Linked DNA regions of Lepisosteus oculatus. The protein of the gene in region 2 purifies or fractionates together with the protein of the main gene of each other region. This does not show direct contact. Links are inferred from orthologs where the notes say so. Each region holds a gene or a part of one and is shown on either strand. Other genes may lie near its edges.

Region 1 (7,557 bases), on a different chromosome or scaffold from region 2:
CGACGCTATCCTACCAAACACAGCAGCTGTACGAGAACGGAAGTTCACGTGTGCCAAAATAAGAAATGTTCATTTAAACTAGCACTATTAAATCTCCTAAAAGTACAGAGAACGGGGGACATTTGTACAGAAAAATAGGTCGTGACGTTTGACGCTCAATTTCAACGCGATCATTATTTTTTTATTTTTCACTCCTGTCCGCGAAACAATTTAAACCGATTTCGAAACCAGACGGGGCTCCCACTGTCCCTGAAATAAAAATGAATGAGCAAGACAAACAAAAAGAATACGGCAGCTTTTTTTTTTTAACTTTCGGTTTTCGGCGTCATTTCCAAACGGCTCGGTTACAGACGCGATCGAGGAGGGCAAGGAGAGAGAGAAAAGGAGGGATAAAATGAAAAAGAAGAACTATTTTGACACGGGTTGAGGACGGGGAGTAATGTCTGCTGTGTGTGTGTGTATCAGTGCAGGCAGCTAAGTGGATGACGCCATTTCTGTATCACAGCAGAAACACATTTCGCCAACAACACGACACTAGTACGGTAGAGAAAGACGCACACACAAAAAAATCCGTCATAACAACGCCAAGTGAAAGACAGCGAGAAATAAAATTAATCCATATCGCCCTTCTCTTATTTCTCCCCCGTCAGTCGAGGTGTACTGTCTTTTTGTCTCAACCAACTGACAGTTTCTCAACGGAATAACAACCTCACTCGCGCAACCTGCGGATGATGATGGTGACGATAATAATAACAACAACAACAAAAAAATAACACTACAGCTGTAGCAGCTCGATAAAAGCCAGCAAGCGTGTGTGTGGGGGGATTTTTTAAGTCGATTTTTTTTTTCAGGAATCCCCTGTTGGCACTCTCTCCGAGCAGCACAGCGTGATACACATCATCAGATCGGAGGGCTGGTGAGGTTAGGAAAGGGACCGGAGGAGGAGGAGGAGGAGGAAGAGGAGGAGGGGGAGGGAGGGGACAGACGGGCTGGTTTCTTTTGTAGGGTCTCCGTGAAATCTGAAATCGTTAACTTTGATTTGCCAACCCAAGAGGCTGCCAAAACGCACCGAAGTACACACACAGAGCGGCGGACAAAAACCCATCGAGCGATTTCCGCGTTCAAACGCAGACGAGGGAGGGAGAGAGAGAGGGCTCCTCTGTCCGAGGCTGTTTCGGTTGCACATTTTCGCTGACTCCCCAAACTACAACCCCGACGCCTCTCCCACGGCGTGAAACGGCAAACGAGGATTTTGTTTTTTAAAGAAACAACAACAACAACAACAACAAAACCCACCATGAACAAGGCTAAACTAAACAAAGTGACACGGGCTCAAAAACCTAAACCGACCTCCCCTCACCGCCGCCGCCGCCGTCGTCTTCACCGACTTCGAGAGACGGAGGAGCAGCCGGGGACCGACTGCGGACGAGCAGCAACCATTAAATCCGACAAACCAGGCACTACAATGTCACCCCGCTTAATGTAATCCAGTCGTTACTGCTGGCGAGAGAGTGTGTGTGTGTGTTTCTGGGGGAGAGTGCTCACGGCTGGACTGTGCTTGAAAATCAGCTGTCGAAAACAACGCTGAGCCTAGTCTCATTTCTCACCCCCCCTCCGCAAACCTCCCAACCGCTCCGCTAGTTGCTTTATTGCAACGATTTAAAAATATGTTCTACTCCTGGTCGTTTATTTTTCTCTCTTTCGCCTCCCCCCCCCCTCCCACGTCAGTCCGGGCTTTAATAAGATTTTGTTTCTGTTCTGGCGAGCACGGCTGCGGGTTGTAGTATAAAAGAGGGGAGCAGGGAGGGGAAAAAAAATATTAATTAAACGTGACCGATGGGGTGGAAGACTGGAGCAGCAGCAGCAACAGCAACAACAGCAGCAGGAGCAAGGAAAAAAAAACCACAGAGAAAAAAGATCGGGAATACAGGCAGGCGACCTACGCGACCGTAAAAGCCAACTAATGGAGACATCCAGAGTCAGAGGAGACTCGATCGCTGGGCGACAGCAAGTCGTCTCTGGAGGAAAGGAAGTCGGTTTCGGGGCAATTTCATCGCTGTCTGCAGAATCCGAGGAGCTCACTTATGTAAGACACGGCTTTTTTTTCCCCCTCTTCCCCACCAAAAAAAAATCAGATCCGATGCCTCGCGTCAAGAAACTCCTTTCTGCATGATCGGGGTTTTTTTTTGGTGGGGGGTGGTGGTGGAGATACATTCCTCCATAGCCGAGTGTAACTCACACACCTTCAAGCCAGCTAAAGCTGACAGGCGAAAGAATAAGACGAGCGAATGCAAATAATTGATAGATTTGTTTCTGGACTGGCTAAGCAGCAGGGTCGACAGCGCTCACTACGGACAACGCTGGTCTTTTCCACTCCACCCCCCACCTCACCTCCAGTTTTCCTAGTCTAAGATTTCCCTAGTCTGTCCCCCCGGCGTTAGGAAAGAAAATCAGCAAGTGCCCAAATGATCTGCATCTTTTTTTAGGGGAAAAAAAAGAATGGGCAGCAAACAAACTTCACGCGATCTGTTTATTCCTTACCGAGGAAGTCCAGTTTTCGATTTTTTTATCCTCTCTTCTTGCTGGTGCAGTAATTTAATCCTCCATGAGCTCATCGAAAAGCAAGAGCAAACGGACTTGACGGTTATTTTTGTAGTCTTTTTTTTTTTCTTCCCCCCCACCAGCCCCGGGATGCGTATCCGACACAATCGCTCCTTCTGTAGGACTCTTTCTGTGTGCTCCTCTCCTTCTGAAACAGACTGACGGACTCCCCTAAGAAACGCCCTCGATGACTGTCAAGCTTTATGATTGGCTATCTGCTGCTAGTGTCCGCCCCCTACCGACTACCATTGGTCGGTCTTGCCAAGAAAATGACGTTATTTTCTAACGGTACTATGGTAACAAAGAGTTGGGAGCGCTTGGGATATGTAGTTCTCAAAAGAGTAATCTGCAGTACACAACACTAGTGTTTCAGATGACGATCATCGGGCGCTCCGAACAACAACTCCCAGAAAGCTTTGCAACGTGCAGAAAATATCCGTCCCCCCCCCCCCTCCCCGGCCATTATGCGCTTGCTCGGTGGAGAAGCGATGGCGTATATAGCTTGCTGTGAATGCGGATGAGCAAGGAGTAGGCTTGGCTCTTAAATTACGAGGCAGGGTAAGGTGTTTTAGGTCGTTTTGTAAGTCAAGTGCGGTAACAAAGGAGGGGCTCAACGATCTTCCCCCTCTTAAGTGGGGTTTTCGACGCGTAAGAAATATTTGGATGCCGTGATAAATTAATAAAAGGGAAGGTTGCGAGCGGACGTGGGGGAGGAAAAAAAAAGTGACCCGGATTGCAAATTGCTGACCAACCAGGTAGGTGGAGCTTCGTCGATGTGCTCTTGACATCAACAGCAAAAAAAAAATACTGCCTGTTGTGAGAGTTGGTGAGGCCGCCTGCGCCTTGGGGGAAAAAAAACTAACGTTAAGGTGCTCTTTTTTTTTCTACTTGATTCATCATAAAGCCTCTGGGGCTACGTTATTGCACATAAATCCAGCCTTTCAGGCACGGTCTGTTTTTCACTTTTACAGCAGTTGCATGCATGCTCTGTAGAGGATAATCCTCTCTCCTTACATCTAGGCAGTGATGTAAGGGAATTACTCTGCAGTACTGATGTAGTTGCACTCGTGTCATCTGTCAAAGCGAGTCACATGATGACACCTTGCGTGTGTGTTAGTCACGAAAAGTAAAGCTGACGTCTCTTCGCGTTTTTATGGCACAGGGGGAATAATTCCCTAGAAGCTGTCTCCCCCCCAGATCTAAAAATGGAATTGTGAAGGATCTGTAGGTCTTTTTTAGTGAGGATAAATCCTGTTACTGAATGATCACCCTCTTGTGTATTTCAAGAAATGCTGCTGAGTTGTAGCTGGGTCTGGCTATTTTAATAACCAGGTTTTTTAAGCGGACGGATACAGTAATTCTGGTGTATGACAGTAGGCGATTTACGAGGAATGCGGGTATAAACTCTTCCCATTCTAGAGTTGTGTACAGCCGTATTAATCTCCCGGGTGAGGTATTGTGTACTTGCTTTTAGAAAAACTGCAAACGCAAAACATGGAACATACTTTTATTACCTGCGCTTAATAAAAAAGACTTTCATTACGTTGGTTTGAGCAGTGTCGTACAGTATACTGTATAAAGTAGTTTAACCAATACTGAAAAGGTTTAGGTAAGTTGTCTCCTTTGATATTACATACTCCTATTTTTTCCAAAGAACTCTTGTGGTATAAATTTAGCAGTATCCAATCTGGCTTACACAGCCTTGAAAAGAGATCATCAAACCTTAATTATTTAATGTTACATTAACATTTTAACTGGAACTTCAGATAGATGTGTAGGCCAACGGTATTCTGCTCTGGTCCTGCAGTGTCTCTGTAGGTTTTCTCCTAAAGAAGTAATAGTCGAGGAGCTGGGAGAGGTGATAATTGGACTAGTTTAAGACATCAGCAATTGACAGAGGCCAATAAGAACTAAGTGGCATGAAAACCTGCAGACTCACTGGCACTCATGACTGGACCACTGCCTTGGGCTATTTTTGGTCTCTGCATTTTGCTGTGTACAACTGTATTTATGTTTTGTGTAAATGATGCACATGCAGGTAATATTATAGGATTACAATTTTTTTCATCGAAGTGCTGTTGGGTAGACAAGCTGGTTGCGGCTTTGTCAATTCGGTGTTTAATGTTTTCCTGTCTTATCTAAATGCTTTGTAAGTCTGGGCAAATCTTAACGCCTAGCACACCTTTTACTTAACTTAATTCGTCCCTCATTCTGTAATGAAATACTACATCAATGGAAAGTTTGTTCCACCATGTTTGAGGCGCTTGGAGGATTTGTAATTACATAACATACAAGCTTCTAGAACCTTTAAATTTGGTAGAAGAAGGAAACTTGCCAGAGAATCCGGTTGTTAGACTTGCTGTTTACGTTTCTGAAAAATCTTTGCCCTACTGCGTTTACTGTGGAAGCAAGGCACAGCGGGGCTTCGAATGTTGAATACCCTGAAAAAGAAATTGCAAAAGGTCTAATTGGTTAAAATTCCCAGTTATACGAAACTGTGTGGGGGGAAACTGGGTCAGCGGGCTGGGTCGTGTGTAAGTATAATGAGCCTCTGAGTCACTTACTTAAGGATGTGACTTCAAATGTCCTTTCCCACTTCTGTAGGGGTGGGCAAAGATTCAGGTACTCGTGTGTCTCATTAACTTGTTTCTCTCCTCCATCTCAGTCTCGTGTTGCATCCCTTGACTGTTTTCTGCAGTTACCTGCAGAATTCTAGAACCATCGCTCTGACCTACATCCGTGCTATCCAGCTCTCGGGGGGTTGCCGTGGAAGAATGGCGCGCCACCGTGTTGAGCTCCCTCGCGCTGGCACTCCGCTGGTGAGCTCCTGGCCGTGGAGCTTCGTGGGTCTGAGTTTGAGCAGTCTCTTTGCTCCGTGTGGTCGGCGCAGTGCCGGCTGCTGCTGCTGCCCGTATAAATCGGCGTCTTTGCGAGTGACCCTTTTTGGGTTTCAAAGTCGGGCGGGGGTGGGAAAACGTCATACAGGCTAGAGAAACCGTTTTCCCAAGTGATGCAAGTGTTCGTTTCTTTTGCAGAGTTATCCATCTAGTGAATGCTCTTTGTGAAAGAAACCAGCATGCTGAGTGAGGGCACCTGATTTCCTTAGAGCTGTAGGAGATTCACAAAGGGTTTTAAATGTGTGAATACTGGATAATGCAGTCTTTTGCGCACCTGGGAGCGGTCATACAGACTGAACTCCCAATATTTGTTTTTCTCATGTTACAAAAGTAGTGTTCGTACTCTGAATGAAATTAGACGATTTTGCGACTTTGATTCTGTAGCTGAAACTGCTCCAGCAGAACTGCTAATTAAACGGTTGCCGATGTGCAGAGTGCACGCAGGCATTTTTGAAATGCTAATTTGCAGAAGTGGGTTTTGTTGCAGCTTCGTTACAGGTGATCGCTGAACAAAGAGCGTTTTTTTTAAATATTTTTTTCCCTGCCAGATCGCTCAGTTTTGAAACGAGCAGACGCGCTGTGCTGGAAGTGGAATGGTTTGATCTAAGCTGTCATGTTACAGATCACGATTCCCCCCGAGAGGCAGAAATAGAGAAAATGGGCACAAGTGCGTTGTTGTTCTGTGCAGCCGCGACACGAATCATGTGCTGACCTCGCGTGCTACAATAACACCGCATGTGTTAGCTAAGCTGTTGTGCACAGTGGCAGCAGTAACTGAAGCAGCTATCACTGATACAGGTAACAAGACTAGTGCTGCCTTTCATTTCCTGATCTGAGTCTGTTGTTGCACTGATTCGACTTTGCCTTCCTGTTTGTCATACATTTTATTTCTTTTGCGTTTCGAAAGCAAGGCTACAGTATTGGTGTTTAAAAAGGTCAGGTAGGAGTCTGTGCCATTGTCTGGCTTCTTGGTGTCTTAATTAACATTCTTTTGATTTGGGGGAGAGTGATACCGTATTTAAACACGGTGGAGCAGTGGTTGGCATTGTTGCCCTGCAGTGCTGGGGCCCTGGGTTCAATTCTGTGGTGCTGTCTGTGTGGAGTTTGTATGTTCTCCCTATGTTCGTGTAGGTCCTCTGGATACCTCCCACAGTCCAAAAAGTCCAGATTAACTTAACTTGCAGGTTAATTGGCTTCTGGCAGAATTGCCCATGGTGAGCATGTGTGTTTCTGCGTCTGCCCTGCAATGGACTGACGTCCCACCCAGGGTGTATCCCGTCTTTCGCCTGTTGCTTGACGGGATAGTCTCGGGCTCCCCAGTGGCTCTGAATTAGATGAAGCCATTGGAAAAGGGATGAATCTGTTAAAAAAAAAACTGCTTTTTTAATATGAAATACACATGCTATTAAAAAAACGCTACTAATTGCTTAGTGTTAATACCTACCATTAACACCGTTAACTGCGTGCTGTTCAGTTTTATGACTACAAATCAAACTTGCAGTTGCTGCAGGCCTCCCTCTGAGAGTTCAGGTTTGATAACGGATAAGTGGTAACAGTAAAAGCTTCTAAATGTGAAACATTAGTTCAGTTTTATCTGCCTCCTATGCTTTTGGATTGCAGTCATTAAAAGGCTTCATCATCTATTGTATTTTTTTAGGGAAGTTATGCGTTGGTATTTAGGCCTTTAAATATTCTGTTGTGGCTTCACATACATATAGAGGAGTCGCTGGTTTTTGTTTTTGTTTGTAGTTTTTGATCAAGGAGTAAACGTAAATCAAGATTAACTCGTGACTGCTCTGCTCCCAGTGCAGTCTGACAGTCTATTACCGCCTTCGGTAAACGGGTCCGGTGACATACTTGGCTGTACTGCAGCATCTTGTGGTTCACTTACTTGCTCTAGATGTAATCGAGTGTAACTTTACTTGGTTTTTTTTTTTAGATGTGGCTTTTCCTTCTGGATTGGGGACAGACCGGAGAACGTTACAATGACCGGTGGCTTAAACCGTTTTGGGTGTCGCGGTGTTATTTAAATGTTTTTTTAATCAAGCAATTTGAAACA
Region 2 (7,153 bases):
ATCAGAGCAAGGTGCTTAAACCACTTTGTCTACTGCTCATTCAAGAACTTCACGTCAAACGTTATGTGAATGCTTTAATATAACTCTTTTAACCAGTCTATGAATCAAACAGGTGACCCATCATGCCACAGATTGCCAGACGATTTTTCTTATAATAGCTTTGAATATTTTTATCTTCCACACAATAAGGGAAAATGTACAAAGTACACAAGCTCAGGTGAACTAACTGGCACTTGCTTTTCCTGAGCATGATGGGTTTTTTTGCCAAATTAAACAGCGGAAATATTCAATTAACTAAGCAGCCAAGTCTACAGTGCCTCCTACCTGGGGCCTGACCAATAAAGAGAATTTTGATCAAATTGATCTAAAGATCATATACTGCTATAGCAATGATGGAATCAAAAAACATTACTTGCTTACCTTTGTGATTTGAATTCTTTCATTATATCCAGAAATTTGTTGTATATCCCAGGATCATTACCAAACCGAATTTTAACTTGGTCCAGATATGATAAGGCATCTTCAACCTAAAATTAGAAAGCAAAATCTCATTTCAACTTTCATTTTTTTCCCCCCAAAAGACCCATTAGGTTAAATTACTTAAACTTTCTGACACCACTTCCAGTTAATGCTGATGACAGTAGTTTTCAAAACAAATATTTAGATTTGTTTTTAAATGAACAATTTAGAAAAACTGTTTTAAAATATGTCATGAGATACAGAAATGTGGAAACTAACACAATAATTATTATACACAAGGTAATAACAATTTAACCATTACCCTTTTAACAATAAGCATAGAAAATGCTGACAGAAGCAGCAAAAAACTAAATATTGTAAACATCCTGCATTCAGGCAATACAGAAATGTTTAAGTTCACATTTAATCATTTGTCAAAATAGTTTATTTTACACTAATCTAATTTTACAAAAAGATAAAAAGATTATTTTAATTATACATTTACAACATGATTTAACCTTATGTCAAATCCTTCAGAAATGTTTTTAAGAACAAAATTAAGTGCTCATCTTCCTATCAGCTCCTACTAAAATCTGAATAGAAACATATCCCCCTGCACACAGTACACCAATGTCATCAGTCCTTGCAATAAAACATAATGATGGAGCGAATCACTTCATAACTCAATTAAAAAATGTTGGAAGTGCAGGAAAATGTTTGTGAAAATAACAGATTTGGTGGCCATGTCCCATTGTTGCAGAAGCTGTAGGCTCACTGGCTGCACAGTTGCTCTTCTCATCATGACTAGCAATTCTGCTTATTGATCCTTCAAGCCTGGCACAGCACTGGGTCAAAAAACACTCTTTTTTTTTTTTTACCAGTCTCCAATACTATGCGATAGGATAGCCACTAGACCATTAGAATTGAGAATGACCTATATTGATGGAATTCACGTGAAACTGCTCAAGTTGATGGCATTTAACACATCACCTTTTTATCTGATCAAAGATATACCTTTTATGGGCAAACTGGAAAATAACATAAGGCGAATAATATGCAATTGTAAAATACAAAGTGAAAAGTTTTTTTTTTTTCCATCTGGGCTAAAACCCTAGCCCACGTTGGCCCTTTTTTGTCAGTGCAAGAGATCCTATAATCCAGACCAGTCAGTTCTCTGAACGTCTGACGATAAATGCAAGAGCAAATGAAAACCATCGGGATCTGATTTGAAATAACAGCATTGCTTCAACACAGGTCATTCTCAATTCTAAATTGTTTTTTAATGCCTAGATATCCCTGAACATCCTTCCTTTAAAATACACGTCAATGCGGTAATTGTCTCTAGAGCGTATTAGTAACCTTTTTCTTTTTATTTAAGAATTAAAAAAGAGAGAGCATGCTATACTGGCTATTACTGTGGGATTATATTTTCTCCATTACAACAAAGATCAGAAAAGAAAATCGCAGTATAAACCTGAAAAAGACTTGAAGAAGATACCTCTTAGCAGAAGTGAGTGTTATTACCCTAATGGTTTGTATCCCAGAGTTATCGAGACAATACAGTAGAACAAAATGTGACAAAAACACAGTTACAGAAAAGCTTGGCAAATTTTTCAACCCGAGCATTTCCTTTACATAATTTTCCTTCCAAAGTTTTAAACTTCAGTGCAATTGATTAAAAAAAAACAATTACAACCAATGTACATAAAGTGATGCACAGTGGCGAAGAAACGTGACCGTTTTGAAGTGTGCTCACAAACCCTCTCCAGGTCGACAGCAAAGCCTAGTGAGCAATCTGCATCAGTTACTATAACCAAATCTGCACTGTGTATAAGATCTCCATTGCATTTCATTTAAACAGAAGCACCTTTTGTCTCGTCAGCCCGTAGGAATGAATATATGGGGGAAAAGACACACAGCTCTGTAGGATCCATTTAACAAAGAAAGTACCGTAAAAAGAATTGTAGAAGAAACGAAAATACAGTTAAAAAAACGGCTCCGTTTGATTTTTGACTAGTTTTTAATAATCCACTACACATCTCACTATTGCTAGTTATATTAGTTATCTTCTGGGAAAGATCTCGCTCAGCTGCGTTTGCTCACCCGAATCATGCATCTCGCAGGCTGACCACATCGCTGAACAAACAGCAAGAAGACATTTTCTGTTTTTCTTACCTTCAGTTTCTGAAAGTGTTGTTGCTGGACTTGTTTCTGCACTACATAGGCCTTGTCCTGGATGTGTTTGATTTGCGGCATGTTGTTATGAGCTCGAATTTTCGCCATTGTCCCCTAATTCCTCAGAAAATATCTTGGCCTGCGAGTGAGGAGAAGGAGGGGGGCGGAGGGTCCCAGCTATTTAAAACGCCATTGTTAGTACACACTGACAGATATACAACTCACGTTTAAAATCGACTGAAACATCGAAGAGTAAGACAACGAATACTCAGAGAATCGCCCCAAAGCTAAAAGGGGATAATAAAAAAATAATTCTGTCTCTTTAAATTCGGCGGCGGGGTGCAGACTTGGCGTCCGGAAACAGAAAAAAAGACCCAGCGCGCCTGCGCAGAGCAAAAGCATTCCCGCGCTCGGCGCTTTCTGCGCATGTGTGAAGTTTTGCCACTTTCCTCTGGAACTTGTCAGCTGAGACGTTGGCGTCATATGTACTGTAAAAAAAATATTACGATCCCCCGCTCCCTGGACGGTATAAGCAAAGAGGAGTAATTGCTTGCATAAATTCCATATTTTTTGTAACCCAATTTTATCCACTTTTAGTTACGTACAGCACACACCTTCACTTATAAACAGCCTTTAAAACATATTGGGACAGCAAAGTCAAAACTCATTTTTGCTTTAAGTTTCAGCAATTTGCTCTTGAGTTGATGAGATTAACATGAATTATAAAGCCAACAATCTAAGTTTATTGTTCTGGTACTTTCACACATGCCTTTTTGTGTACTGTTCTGTTCTGGTTTGTTCTTTGTGTGTTCTGGACTGAGTAACTCTCATCTATATATTACTACTTGGTAAGCTATAAAGATTGCGTCATCTAAATCATCATTTGTATGCCAATGATACTCAGATCTACAGACATAGATGGATGTACTTGGTTATGTGCGAATATGGCTGTTCTCAAAGGTTCTCTGCACTGGTAGTACACTCATATACTACAAGTATTAGTACATGGTACATGGTATGAAATTTGTCTGTGTGGATTATTTTACAGCTTGTGAATGTTCTAATCGCCACTCAGTTCAGTGACATGAGAAACCTAAAGAGGAGATGATACACAGTGGCACTGATACATGGGAGATGTATACATTTAGTATACATTTACACTGACATGCTTACAAAGAGTACATACACACAGATATTGATGGTCTGAGACAGAAATGAAGGTTAATATGCAGAGTTAGATAAATTACAAGCCACTTGAAATTGCAGTGAGTTTTGACATTTTTGTGATATCCTTTGATTTTTGTTATTTCCTGCCACTTCACACTTCACATACTAGATAAGATAAATAGACTGGTTAGACAGACAAGATAAAGGTGTCTAAATAAATATTTCTTCAAATGTGAGTGCCTGACCAGACTGGTTTTATAGTTTGTTGAAACAGTATTTAGAAAAAAAAGGTTTGAAGAAATCAAATATTTTTCAAATGTTAAAAAAGCCTTGGAACACATTTAAAAATGGTAATGTGTGTGACAGTTACCAGTGACTCTTAGTATAACACGGCAGTGCAGTGAACTCAGGTGCAAGGCAGAGCAAGCAACAATCACGCAGGTAGTTATAGGTAAAGTGCAATCCAAGTAATAGTCAGGAATCAGACAGGGTTTGTAGCCAATTGGAAAGCAAAAAGAAAACTAGCACTGAAAGCTGTGATAAAAGTGGCAGAGATCAGGGACCAAGGACAGATAGGAACAGACAGAGGGTGAAGTTGTCTAGTTGGGATTATCTTGGCTCTGTAGCATGATGGCACACTAGATAAACCACCTGTGTCTGTTAAGTCGTTTGGCTCCTTCTGTGTAGGCAAAGTAAAACCATGAAATGTTGAGTTGCCCATCCATCAAGTGTCTCTATTCATCAAGGACAGGCTTAACTGCCAAATTTTCTTGTCGCCAAGGTTATAATTTTGCTCACCCAAAGAAAACTTCCTGGAAAAAAAGGCACATGGGTGGATAGATTTGAGGACAATGATGGCAAGTAGAGTAGGTTTGTCTGAAGTACAGTGGCCACATACCTGGATTGTTAAATTGGGGAATAAAATCAAGCCTTTTGTATCACCTTCCAGGTGTTATGGGACTATACATCTCATACATAACACGTGTAAAGCCATGCTAGAAGTTTGATTAATGAGGGACTGCTGGTAAATTATATGGTGTCAGAATCAAACACCTTTGTTGAGGCCAGAGGACAAAAAGGTTAGAAAAGCTTTGATAAGAATATAGCAAATGTGTCCAATACTGGTCTTTGAGGACCAGTATCTGTTGGTTTAGGTCGCCACAAAATTTGTGTTTATATAAAATAGTATGTACCTAAAGAGCTGGATGAAGCTTTTCAATTAGCAAGTAAGTGAATAAAATGAATAAATTAATGAATAAAATTACTTAAAATAAAATTAGGGGCATCGGCAGAGACAGAATTTATTATTAACACTGACAATATATTCAGCTGCCTTTTCTGCATTGACGCAAGGATGGATATACACTAACACAAAAATGTTGCAGGAATTCACAAGGTAAGTAGTTTGGGTGAAGAGCAACAACCAAAACCTCTTGATCTGATACGCAGAGCTCCTCTTGCACTACTGCAGTTTTACACCACTTCTAATTAATGTACAGACAAACACCATTCCCTTCTCTCCTCACTGGTACTGTCTTTATTTATATCAAGGTGGATTAGAGATTCAAAACCATCAATAAACAAGTCCTGGTTAGAGACTTGGTTTTTTAGCCACATCTCTGTAAAAGCTACAACAGATTCCTTTACCCTTGTTGATAATTGAGTTGCAGTTCATCCAGTTTGTTCCACAATGAGCGTACATTAATCACAATAATTAGTGAACATGTACAGTAGACAATATGTCATTGCATACTCAGTGTGAAGAGGCCAATGATGTGTTATATTACCAAACAGACAAAACTCACTAGCCGAATTTTTGAACAGGGTTAGAAACAGCAAAGATAAAAAGACCCTGACAAAGTACAGGCTCAATGACCACAATCTGGCCATAGAAACTGGGTGACAGGCAGACCTGGCTGCCCAGAGAGGACAGGCTGTGCTTCCACTGCCAGCAGGGAGAAACAGAGGCAGACATGCACATCCTACTGGACTGGGAGAAATATTCTGGGATTAGACAAACATTGTTCCCCAAAATAAATCTCAGAATTCTCACACCTGCCTGAATCAGAACAGCTCCCAATCCTATTTGGAGAGGGATGAGGGAACTCAACTGAGCTCGTAGCACAGTAGGTGATCTCCTGTCACAGCCTGAGGAGCAGTGAGCCTGTTTCCCTGTAATGTTCTAAGTGTTATATGTTGTATGTAAATCTCCTATGATGTACAGTATTTGAATTGCTACTGGCTGTGGTAGATTACAATGGAGGTCTCTCTAAGAATCTTGACACAATGGGTAATAACTAGTGTCAATATTCCAATTTACTAGAGCTTCAAACTAAGGGATTTTTACTTGGTTGTTCTGGGTGTGAGAAACACTGATCAAAAGAATCTTCTGGTTTTAGTTAATTAAATTCTCGATTGTCAATCGACAGTCCAGAAAGACACCAAATAAGATCAGATCAAGACAGTGAAAAGAATAACAGAAAAGAAAAGACCACAAGGGAGAAGACAGGAGGAGAGGACTTAAAGTCTCAGCCATCTGAGCTCCTGTCAAACAGTTCCTTTATTTGAGATAATCTGAAAAGACTCGATTGAAGCTAAGTATTTGAACCTTGCTAAAGAGAGCTTGCTATTCTGTATTAAGGAATTTGGATTTCCTGAGTGAAGAATACCTTGGTTAAAAAAGGCCTTTCATGCTTGGTGGATTTTTTGAATAGGGAGAAAGGCTTTCTAATTTTTTGTAACATCTGTAGATGTTGTATTGACTGTCCTGTATATGCTTTAACAACACTGTAATTTACCTGTTTGAATTTGAAGTAAACTGACTACTGCTCAGATTCGTATTACAGCTAAAAAAAGGAAATGTAAAAAGTGCTCATTAAAATTACAACTGTTTAGGGGTTAAACATAAACTCACGGTAAAGAAACAAATTATAACAGAAATATGTTCTTTAGCAGTTTTATTTGGAATGTGTTGTATTTGCACTGCCTGCTGCTTACATTGCCTCTTTGGAATGAATAAAAGTTTGAATGGAATCAAATCAAGAAAATGAGAGAAAAAAAATTCACAGACATCAGTGTCTTCCTGTTGCACAGAAGCATTTTGGTGTAGTGCTAACACATACCATGCAAAGCTTTCAGAAAGGAAATCATATAGTAAAAGTGTTAAAAGTAAAAAAGGGAGGTACTGTAGTGTACAATGCACTAGCACAACTACATTTAGAATATTGTGTACAATTTTGGTCATGTCATGAAAGTAGTATTGCCGCTCTTAAATTAGTCCAGACAAGAGTAACCAAATGAATTATTGGAGCTTAAACTAAGGATGTATGGTGTGTGGGTTCACATGTTTTCA

What was found. Proteins that work in one complex are often made in the same cells at the same time.
Region 1: the proteins of sin3b (region 2) and arid4b purify together in Homo sapiens (affinity purification with mass spectrometry; 3 studies listed by BioGRID and IntAct, with this or other methods). This does not show direct contact. The link is inferred for Lepisosteus oculatus from reciprocal best matches to the Homo sapiens genes SIN3B and ARID4B.

What each region holds. Positions count from the first base shown.
Region 1 is NC_090712.1:6,399,081-6,406,637, reverse strand, and holds the start of arid4b (AT-rich interactive domain-containing protein 4B), read right to left. Parts: upstream 3,008-7,557; 5' UTR 2,542-3,007; intron 2,087-2,541; exon of another isoform or gene 1,584-2,086; intron 1,426-1,583; exon of another isoform or gene 1,351-1,425; intron 1-1,350. UniProt on the Homo sapiens protein: Acts as a transcriptional repressor. May function in the assembly and/or enzymatic activity of the Sin3A corepressor complex or in mediating interactions between the complex and other regulatory complexes.
Region 2 is NC_090724.1:101,623-108,775, reverse strand, and holds the start of sin3b (paired amphipathic helix protein Sin3b), read right to left. Parts: upstream 3,020-7,153; 5' UTR 2,743-3,019; coding exon 2,635-2,742; intron 2,597-2,634; exon of another isoform or gene 2,572-2,596; coding exon of another isoform or gene 2,563-2,571; intron 528-2,562; coding exon 421-527; intron 1-420.